3 linked regions of the Saccharomyces cerevisiae S288C genome follow. The gene in region 2 interacts genetically with the main gene of each other region. Each region holds a gene or a part of one and is shown on either strand. Other genes may lie near its edges.

Region 1 (2,286 bases), on a different chromosome or scaffold from region 2:
TCGTTACGTTCAATTTCCCATGGATTACCAGAATTTAACCAGTAATCTGGAGTTTCCACCTGGTAACCGTCAATAATCTTTTGAGCAAAGATACCATACTCATAACGTAGACCATAACCCCAGGCAGGGATGCCTTCCGTTGCCATTGAGTCGACGAAGCAAGCTGCAAGACGACCTAGACCACCATTACCTAAACCTGCGTCCGGTTCTTGGTCCAAGACATCCTCTAACTTGAAACCTAAATCATCCAAAGCCCCTTTAATCATTTCTCTTGGTTTTCCCTTTGAGGCAGCAGGGTCTTCCGGATCTTCAATCTTCATATTAATCAGGGCATTATCCAAAGCCCTACCCATCAAAAACTCCAAAGACAAATAGTAAACTCTCTTTGGGTCTCTTGTGGTGAATTTCTGCTGAGTTTTGTTCCAGTCAATGACCAAATTGTCACGAATACTCATCGAAGCAGCTTCATAAGCAGCCATGTCATCACAATTATATAGGGAACGTGCTAATGTAGTTTCCACATGGTCAATGAATCTATCTTGAAAATCTTCTGCCTTGTTAAATTTTTTGACTTGATGCTTATTCCATAACGCTCTTGACTTTAAAGGAATCATCGTGTCAATTGACTTGATTTCTTGGGGAAGAAACCCCGTAAGTCTCCTTGTAAGCCTTGGGATTTGGTGTGGAGAAGTAGGTTCTTCGGTTATCATATCATTGGTAGTACTAGTACTAGCTGGCGGCATTGTTCAAAATTAAATTAAGTTGAAAGCTGCTTTACTGAAATTGTAATGTAGAGAAGTCAAAAAAGATCCAATTGTTTTTCTTTTGGATATTTTTAGTAATCGTTACCTTCTCAATCTGTGCTTACTTTATATTACAATAGCAAGCAGAAAAAACTTATAATACTTCGTACGTAATCAAAACAAAAGGTACAACAAGAAACGGGAAGGCACAAAGAATCTTGCTTTACTGCTATACAAACTTCATGCTCCTTTTATACATATAATATATTCGTCGGTGTTCCTTCCTTATCTTTGTAGCATGCACATGGTAGTTATTAACCTCCCCTGAAACTTTTTTAGCGAAAATTATCCACCCCTTACTTATTTCCTCGAGAGTCTCTAAAAAGTAAAAATACAATAACGGTAATTGGGGAAGGCGTTCCTTGTTAATTCAAAATGTTATCCTTGAAACATAGAAGGTGCTGGCTGCATCTCGCAGAGCTTCCTCTTCCGTTGAGCGTTGTATTCTTCCCCCCACAGTGCTACTAGGCGATGCCGCTACCCCTTGAAGGGCCTTCCCGCTGTGGGGCAGCGGCCTTTTTTCCTTAGTGGGAAACAAGCACCGGGGTATATTTCATTGTCTATCAGGAGAAGAGATCGTATACAAATGTTCGTGAGACGGTTTCATCTTGACTAGTTGCCTTGCTAGTCGGATAACTAGTGGAAAGCAGTAGGACACTCCCGATGAGTTTGCGTTTCCACGGGGTTTGACAGAGCTACCTATTGTCTTTTTCATCGAAGGAAACGGTAGTTGGACCTTGCCTTGGATAAGTTGGTGAATCATCCAGAGCTTTAGAAGGGAGCAAAAAATAAAATCTGCGCAAGCCCGGAATCGAACCGGGGGCCCAACGATGGCAACGTTGGATTTTACCACTAAACCACTTGCGCTTGTTATTTACATGAGTGTGGTACTTCTATTGATGGTAGGTGTTCCATTACTTTTTTCGTCTTAAGATGAGCGAGCAAACACAGGGAGAAAATAAAGCGCAATTATTTACCTCATAGGGTACACAATATCCGTGAGAAAAGGATGAATTTGAAATAATTATACAGACTCCTTTTTTTTCAACGTAAAATTATAAGCATAGATTAGAGGCGCTCCTGGATAATAATAGGAACACACACAAGTAAATCAGCAATTTCTCATATCGTACTTATTCGGTAGAGTTAATAATATTCTACTAAAATAACTACTGGTAAGTAGTGAGAGCTTGATTTTTGTACTAATAACTTGTTTCAAAAAAAAAAACGAATAATCAGTTTTACAAAAATGTGTATACCTATATAAACAATCTTAGAGGTAAAGTTCTCCCTCACTAAAAATAATAAAAAATTACGTGCAGATGAGAACCCCGTCTTACCTTAGTATACCTTTAGTTCCCTTTATGACCCGATTTGAACGATAAGTCTTTTATATTTTATTTCTTCCTAAAAGAAAAATGTATGCATTGTAAGTAACTTTTTATGACCATGGTAATAATTAAAGCCGAGGGCTTGTAGATTT
Region 2 (3,453 bases):
TAAGGCTACCTTTCTCTCCACCTACAACTGTTTTTATCAAAATATTGCTCGATAAAAAATATGCTTTACCGTACCAGACGGTGGACGACTGCGTGTATTACTTTATGAGGTTTAGAATTTTGGATGACGGTAGTAATGGGGAAGATGCTACAAGAGTACTCCCAGTGATATGGCACAAGGCTTTCTTAACATTTGCACAACGTTACAAGAACGATATTACCCAGGATCAGAGAGATTTCTTGTTGGAAACTGTTCGTCAAAGAGGCCATAAAGATATCGGTCCTGAGATTAGAAGAGAACTATTGGCAGGAGCCAGCAGGGAGTTTGTTGATCCACAGGAAGCTAATGATGATTTAATGATTGATGTCAATTGATGCTGTAATATCAATTTTTCATCAATTTTATATCGCTCGGTCTTTCCCCCTTTCAACAAAGCTTCTGAATCATGTATAATAAGTAGAAAATATAGAGTAAAAGATTATTGTTCAGGCAAGTTCCTTCCTATCAATTCTTTATGCATAATCTATCGAAATCATCAAAATATGGCCTATATATTAGCCTATATATTAGCCTATATATTAGCCTATATATTAGTCCATATATTGCAGACTGAATTTTTTTTTCTAAACTATCCATGTTTGCAAGGAATTATCATAAAATGAGCATGTTGCGATCAAAGAATTTGACCAGTCGCCACCGTAACACATCGAATCATGGCCCTTCTTCAGATAATGTTGAATTTGAAAATACTCATCGGAATTATCATTCATGGTCACCACCTTGGCACCATTGTACATGCAACAAACTAAAAGCCGATCGGAGCCGTTGTGGTGAGATTGTTCCTGATCAATGGGGGATTCAACAAATCTCCAAACACCGCCACCAAGATCACACGCCAATTTATTAACTGTGGGGACATTTGCACCAGGAAATATGGACTCACCCATCATCCTTAAATCCAGAGAACGAATGTTATCATCATAGGATCCAGTTATTATGGACGTGGGTTTATTATTTCGAAAGTTAGGTTGACTACACTTAATGCTAACAACACCAGCATCATGAATACGATTATTACTCCAAATGAATTCTTTGGAACGTAAGTCGTGGGCCATAATTCTCGAATCATCACCTCCTGTAAATACAACGTCTTGAAAAGGCTGTAGAGATCCAAATTCCGCAGTCCAACACTCGAGTTCATGGGGTTTCAAAAATTGTCCCGATTCAACATGAATGACTTTTTCGGTTGCACCTTGAACTTCGTAATCTATTTTATCTAGTTTTGAGTAAGCCTGCGCGATTGCTGATGCCGTGAACTGTACAGATAGTGTTCTTATATCAATGGTAGCTGCTTCGCCTGCCGTATTTGTTACAAGTAATTTCTTACAATCAAGTGGGGAAAAATGGCACGAGGCAATGAGAACATCTTTTTCAAAGAGTTGTAGATTTGCAATTGCATGAATATCTAGTTCGTTTGATTGGAAATCATCCTTATCTGTGCACCGTATCCTCCATAGCATGATATTACCTGTCGAATGGGCCGTGCATATCAATGTATCATCAAAGGGGGATAACTTCAAATCTAGGATTGCGCCATACGTATTATTCGAACATAAAAGTTTGAGGTCCATTGTGAAGACATCCAGTGAGCCTGACCTGTATCCAGTTGACTTATCTAAATCATACGTCCCAACAAGGATGATCTTATTCCTGAATATTCTCAAACAACACGGCGGTAGTTTTGTTTTCACTGCATTTAGTACATCTGATTCTTGAATAGAGTCCATATGTATAGCTATGCAAAAACCAGCTAGAGGTGGATGTAGAAATACCCTATTATGGCCTATATGTTAGCTATTGCAAATTTTCACTTTTTCAAGTTCTATACTAGAATGAGAAAAAAACACGAAAACAATTCTTGCAATGAAAAGGACAAAGATGAGAACCTATTCAAAATTATTCTCGCCATATTTTTGCAAGAAAAAAAAAAATACGATTGTATTTCATCTGGTTCAATTATGACTGCTTCAGAAGAGTACTTGGAGAATTTAAAACCGTTCCAGGTCGGTCTCCCTCCACATGATCCTGAATCGAATAAAAAACGTTACCTGCTGAAGGATGCTAATGGTAAAAAGTTTGATCTGGAAGGCACTACAAAAAGATTTGAACATCTGCTATCCTTGAGTGGTTTATTCAAGCATTTTATTGAAAGTAAAGCCGCTAAAGATCCCAAATTCAGGCAGGTCTTAGATGTATTAGAAGAAAATAAAGCAAATGGCAAAGGCAAAGGCAAACACCAAGATGTTCGTAGACGAAAGACTGAACACGAAGAAGATGCGGAATTATTGAAAGAAGAAGACTCGGATGATGATGAGAGCATTGAATTCCAATTCAGAGAATCACCTGCTTACGTTAATGGTCAATTGAGACCTTATCAAATCCAAGGTGTCAACTGGTTGGTGTCTCTGCATAAGAACAAAATAGCGGGTATCCTTGCTGATGAAATGGGTTTAGGTAAGACCCTGCAAACTATTTCATTTCTGGGATATCTTAGGTACATTGAAAAAATTCCAGGTCCATTTTTAGTCATTGCGCCTAAGTCTACCTTAAATAATTGGCTGAGAGAAATAAATAGATGGACGCCAGACGTAAACGCCTTTATTTTGCAAGGAGATAAAGAAGAAAGAGCTGAACTGATCCAAAAAAAACTTTTAGGTTGTGACTTTGATGTTGTGATTGCTTCTTATGAAATTATTATAAGAGAAAAGTCGCCCCTTAAGAAGATTAACTGGGAGTATATTATCATTGATGAGGCTCACAGAATCAAGAATGAAGAGTCAATGCTTTCGCAAGTCTTAAGGGAATTTACCTCACGTAATAGGCTGTTGATTACTGGTACTCCTTTGCAAAACAATTTGCATGAACTATGGGCGTTATTAAATTTTTTGTTACCAGATATCTTTTCCGATGCACAAGATTTCGACGATTGGTTTTCTTCTGAAAGCACAGAGGAAGATCAGGATAAAATTGTCAAGCAACTCCACACTGTTTTACAGCCTTTTCTACTACGTCGTATCAAAAGCGATGTGGAAACATCCTTACTGCCTAAAAAGGAACTGAATTTATATGTCGGTATGTCTAGCATGCAGAAGAAATGGTACAAAAAGATTTTGGAAAAGGATCTGGACGCTGTGAACGGGTCTAATGGCAGCAAGGAATCCAAAACAAGACTTTTAAATATCATGATGCAACTTAGAAAATGTTGTAATCATCCATATTTATTCGATGGTGCTGAGCCAGGTCCACCGTACACTACGGATGAGCACTTGGTTTATAACGCTGCCAAACTTCAAGTTTTGGATAAGTTATTGAAGAAATTGAAGGAAGAAGGTTCTAGAGTTCTGATTTTCAGTCAAATGTCAAGATTATTGGATATTCTCGAGGATTATTGCT
Region 3 (4,966 bases), on a different chromosome or scaffold from region 2:
CCTCTACAAATCAGACATTGAGCACTCTATCTGATTTGCTGGAACAAAACCTCACTCAGTCATCATCTGCAAAAAAGGCGTTTGCTGCCTTAACCCAATTGATGGAAAATTCGGACAACTCGACAATGGTTGTCACTTCGGTCCAATCTCTAGCTGCGGTGACAAATACAACTCAATCTACTCAACAGCTAATTGGATTAGATGATGTGATAAGCTCCTCGAGTAACACCAACGAAACTTTGTCCATCTTGTCCGAATTACAATCGGGCCTATCCGGTAATTCAAGCTCCGTACAGTACATTCCATATCTCTTCAGTCTTTTAGGGGCATCCACTGATCCTAAAACAACATTTTCATCTTTAGTGACGCTGACTTCCTGGGCTCAAGAAAACCCTCAGACCTTCTTGCCCATTTTAGATATATTAGCGGATGCCAAATCCGTCCAACCGATTTCCGCAGAAGAATTGAACGCCATGACGCCGAATATACTAGAGTATCTGAAAATTCCGATTTACTATCGCTTATCCATTTTCACGCTATGCCATGCTAACCTGGAAAACAAGATCCTAGATTGTAACTCCCCACATGCTGTACAAAACTTGGATTTTAGATCGATTATTTATGACGCATTAGTCACATCAGACTTCCAACCATATCTGAACGCCCTGAATATTAGCGCCAACGATCTTTACCTAGAAGGGAAACTTTTACACAGAGAGCACCAATATGTGCCAGCAGTGAGGTCTGTTTTGGCTTTGAACCTCTTAGCGATCATCTTTTCCTTCTTTACCATGATTTTTATTATATTACTGTACTTTAACAGATATATGTTCAAACAACCATTATGGCTCATTGCCCTAGCTCTACACGTTTGCGTTGGTGTAGCCACTGTATTGGCAGCCATTATCATATCCGTTATGATTGCCATTATAAAGAGCGGTACGGCAGATGATAAATATGGTGTTGTGTTTAAAGCCGGTCCCGCCTATACAGGGCTGATATGGACAGCATTTGCGTTGTCTTTTATCGCCACAGGATTGATAATTTATACGTGGTGGAGGAACAGACGGAGTGGTCGTTACATGTCCGGATCTGTGACGAATAGGAAAGGCGAAATTTACACGTATGGGGATGGTTCTGCCATTTCTGCAGACCGTTTCGGCGACCATAACTTGGGTGATGATGATGATGCTGATTTCGAAAAACAGGTGAATCGTAATGAAATAACCGCTATCGACAACAGTAGTTCTGCCAATAATACAGATGTCACAGGTAGTACGAGTAATAGAACAGAGCTAAGTCACCCCGACGTGACACCAAAAGATTCAAATGGACCTGTTAACAATAATGCACATTTGGTAGCATAATTTTTTTCTTTTTCGTAAATGCTCTATCACTTTTTTTCAATTGTACCAAACCATTTACAGCGTTATCTTAATCTCTTATATTGAATTATAGTACATACCACACCATCATCCTTATTTAATAGCTTTATTTAAATTTCAAAACAAAAATTAATAATAATTTGGTAATTATTCATATTTTTGGAATATATGCAATTAATGTTCTTTCGTCTTTGATGTATATTCCTTCGGCGTTAATTACAACTATCACCGTAAAGTTTTTACCACCCTCCGAAAGATTAAGGGCGGCAATGAAATGTGGAGTAAAGTGAATGTTAGATGATGATATTGATGGCTTTGCTCGATCAAAGATAATATTATATTTAAGTATCATCTTGTCCTCAATCCGGTACAAAACAAACGTCTTCAACATTGTTATCTGTATTTTGTTCGTCTTGAATATGGAAAAGACTCAAAAGGGATAATAATACAATTAAAAGTTACCGAAGAAAGATTTTATAATGATCTCAACAGCTTCTGCATTTTATCAGAAGCATAGAGTAAATTTACTGCGTTCTTCATACATAATATTGTTGCTAGCCACGCTTTACAATTCAAATTCCAGTTCTAGTAACAACAAAACTGATAAGAAGGATTCTGAGTCAACGGTTTTAGAAAATAAGAAAATTGAAGAGGGAAAAGAAACCGCAGTAGATAGAGAGGAAGATGAAAGTAGCAAAGAAGAGTTAACGATAGTCTCCAAACATAGCACAGATTCAGAAGATGGTGCAATAATAATTGATAAAGAAAGCAAGACTAATCATAAGGGGGGAGAGCGAAAAGGAAAGGTAGATTTTTTGTTCAAACTTTTGCTTCATGATAAGAAGTGCCTCATTTTATTTATTACACAGGCTATTCTTCTGAACATCAGAACATTGCTGTCTCTTCGTGTGGCTACTTTAGATGGTCAATTAGTGTCCACACTAGTAAGAGCTCAATACGCAAACTTCACAAAGATATTGTTGGGGAAATGGATGATCCTTGGAATTCCCGCCAGTTTTATTAATTCACTGATCAGTTACACGACAAAACTTTGTGCTGTCACTATTAATAGGAAAGTTTCAGACTTTCTACTCTCAAAGTATCTATCTAATCACCATACTTTCTATTCCGTAGCTTCTGCTGAATCTGTTTCAGAAATTCAGGATAATTTGACAAAAGATATTTACACATTTTCAATGAACTCGTCATTATTACTGAATCAGCTATTAAAGCCAATGCTGGATTTGATCCTCTGTTCATTCAAATTATTAACCTCAAACACTAGTGTTATGGGTGAAGGAACTTTGGCACTGGGCTTAATTGTCTACGCCTCCAATTCATTACTAAAATTGATTCAACCGAATTTCACTAGGTTAACTATGGCAAGCGCATCTTTGGAAAGTTGGTTCAGATCTTTACACTCGAATCTACATTCAAGCAATGAAGAAATTGCACTGCTAAGAGGGCAAAAGAGGGAACTAGAAAACGTTGATTATTCATTTTACCGTTTGGTGCTATTTTTAAACAGAGAAATAAAGGCAAGAGCTATTTATGATGTTGCTACTGCATTTGTCATTAAATATACTTGGGGCGCAGCTGGCTTGGTACTATGCTCGATTCCAATATTTTTCAAAAACAAACCTAGTGAAGACACCTTACAGCTTAAGGAACCCGGGAATGATATGACGGCTGATTTCATCACAAATAGAAGATTATTAGTCACTGCATCTAGCTCTATCGGAAGATTTGTGGAACTGAAGAGAAATATACAACAATTACGCGGTATCAGATTGAGATTGAACAAGTTCAATGATTTGTTGGATGCTAATAAAGGTGATGACGAAAAAGAACCAAGAGATGAAAGGTGTATAGTGGAATATGATGATTCAAGGATAAAGTTTGAAAATATTCCTTTAATAACACCTGCCAATCAAGTTCTAGTACCGGAGCTAAGTTTTGATCTGAAGCATGGAAATCATCTACTAATTATTGGGCCCAACGGTTGCGGTAAATCTTCATTATTTCGTATTCTAGGCGGGCTTTGGCCGATAAGGGCGACTCCCAATAAAAATCATCAATCCAAGTTAATAATGCCGCGTAGAACTGTGGATAGAGATTGCGCAATATTTTATTTACCCCAAAGGCCGTATATGGGCAATAGGTCGACATTCAGGGAACAGATTATTTATCCAGACAGTATTGAACAATTCAAAGAAAGATATCACAATGATTATGATCTAGGCGATGCAGATTTAATAAAAATTCTGCAATTATTAGATTTGGAGGATTTAGTCACTGAAAATATGTCACTTCTGCTGGCGCAAAGGACTTCCAAAAATGATTCACAGCAGTTGTCGACGGAAGACAATCAGTCACCATGCGCCATTAAAGTTCGTGATGCATTCAGTATAGTAAGAAATTGGTCCGAAGAATTAACAATTGGTGTCCAACAAAGGTTAGCTATGGCAAGGATGTACTATCATAAACCCAAGTTTGCTGTGCTCGACGAATGTACATCTGCAGTAGCCCCAGAAATGGAACAAAGGATGTACGAAAATGCGCAAAATTTTGGTATCTCGTTAATATCAGTTTGCCACAGGACAAGTTTATGGCATTTTCATAACTATCTGTTAAAATTTGATGGTAAAGGCGGATACCAATTTGGACCGTTTAACCCGAAGGAAAGGTTATGTAATGAAGAAAAACTTCTTGAACTAAATGCCATCTTGGATCAACAGGTGCCACTTTGGGAGCGGAAGTTGAAAGATCTGACAATTGCTAAAGAATCCAACATCATTCGTAAATCAGAAACTAACCTGAATCTTTTTGAAAAGATCGAAGATCCAAAAACGTCCAAATCTAATGCATTGTTTAATGCAAATAAAGGGCAGCGAATCACATCACCTACAGGGCAGGAGACTAGTAAGAGATTACCACTATTTTCCCAACCATCTAGTTCAGCATCATCAAATTTACTAAGAAACAATAAAAGCTTGAACAAAAAAGTTAAAACAAAAAAGGAAGAAGGAAAGGAGAGGTAACATACATAGCCAAAGGAGGATCCAAATCATGTATAAATTGGATAAATAAATTGTTTTATAATAATTTAATATCTTGAGAAAGCGCTCATATTTACGGTTGATTGCTCAATTCCATGTACCGGATCCAACTGTACTGGCTTCCTCAGCCTCCGGTACCAACCTTTTTTTGTATAAATACGTAAAAATACAAAAGTCTGAACTATTTTTCCCTTTTTATGCAAATAAACACTTTCCTATATATAATTTTACTTTTGAATATTCATGTCACGACCCACTGCCTGAGAACTTTCCATTTTTTATAAAGTGAACCAAGTTTTATAGTTATCTTGAATCAGGTGAAGTTGAATGTGTTAAGATGGATGATTGATTGTTCATTACTGATGATGGAGAAGTTATACTGGCGACGTTACTTGAGGATGCATTATTATTAGAAACTTCTGTTGTGGACGAAATTATACGCGGCAAGGAATCAATTTCTTGAACGATGAATTCTCTTTCATCAAGAAAAGTAGAATCCTGAGAATCTAAACCGAAAGTTTT

The links.
Region 1: mutations in RRT2 (region 2) and YPR159C-A together harm fitness more than expected from each alone (negative genetic interaction), as found in Saccharomyces cerevisiae (one large-scale study listed by BioGRID).
Region 3: mutations in RRT2 (region 2) and PXA2 together harm fitness more than expected from each alone (negative genetic interaction), as found in Saccharomyces cerevisiae (one large-scale study listed by BioGRID).

The regions. Positions count from the first base shown.
Region 1 is NC_001148.4:859,763-862,048, reverse strand, and holds YPR159C-A (uncharacterized protein), read left to right. Parts: upstream 1-1,633; coding exon 1,634-1,735; downstream 1,736-2,286. Other genes in the region: GPH1 (glycogen phosphorylase), read right to left, coding at 1-743.
Region 2 is NC_001134.8:709,925-713,377, reverse strand, and holds RRT2 (diphthamide synthase), read right to left. Parts: upstream 1,788-3,453; coding exon 624-1,787; downstream 1-623. Other genes in the region: snoRNA-binding rRNA-processing protein ENP1, read left to right, coding at 1-374; chromatin-remodeling ATPase ISW1, read left to right, coding at 1,839-3,453. UniProt on the Saccharomyces cerevisiae protein: Catalyzes the demethylation of diphthine methyl ester to form diphthine, an intermediate in diphthamide biosynthesis, a post-translational modification of histidine which occurs in translation elongation factor 2 (EFT1 and EFT2).
Region 3 is NC_001143.9:85,685-90,650, reverse strand, and holds PXA2 (ATP-binding cassette long-chain fatty acid transporter PXA2), read left to right. Parts: upstream 1-1,864; coding exon 1,865-4,426; downstream 4,427-4,966. Other genes in the region: FAT3 (Fat3p), read left to right, coding at 1-1,367; HYM1 (Hym1p), read right to left, coding at 4,748-4,966.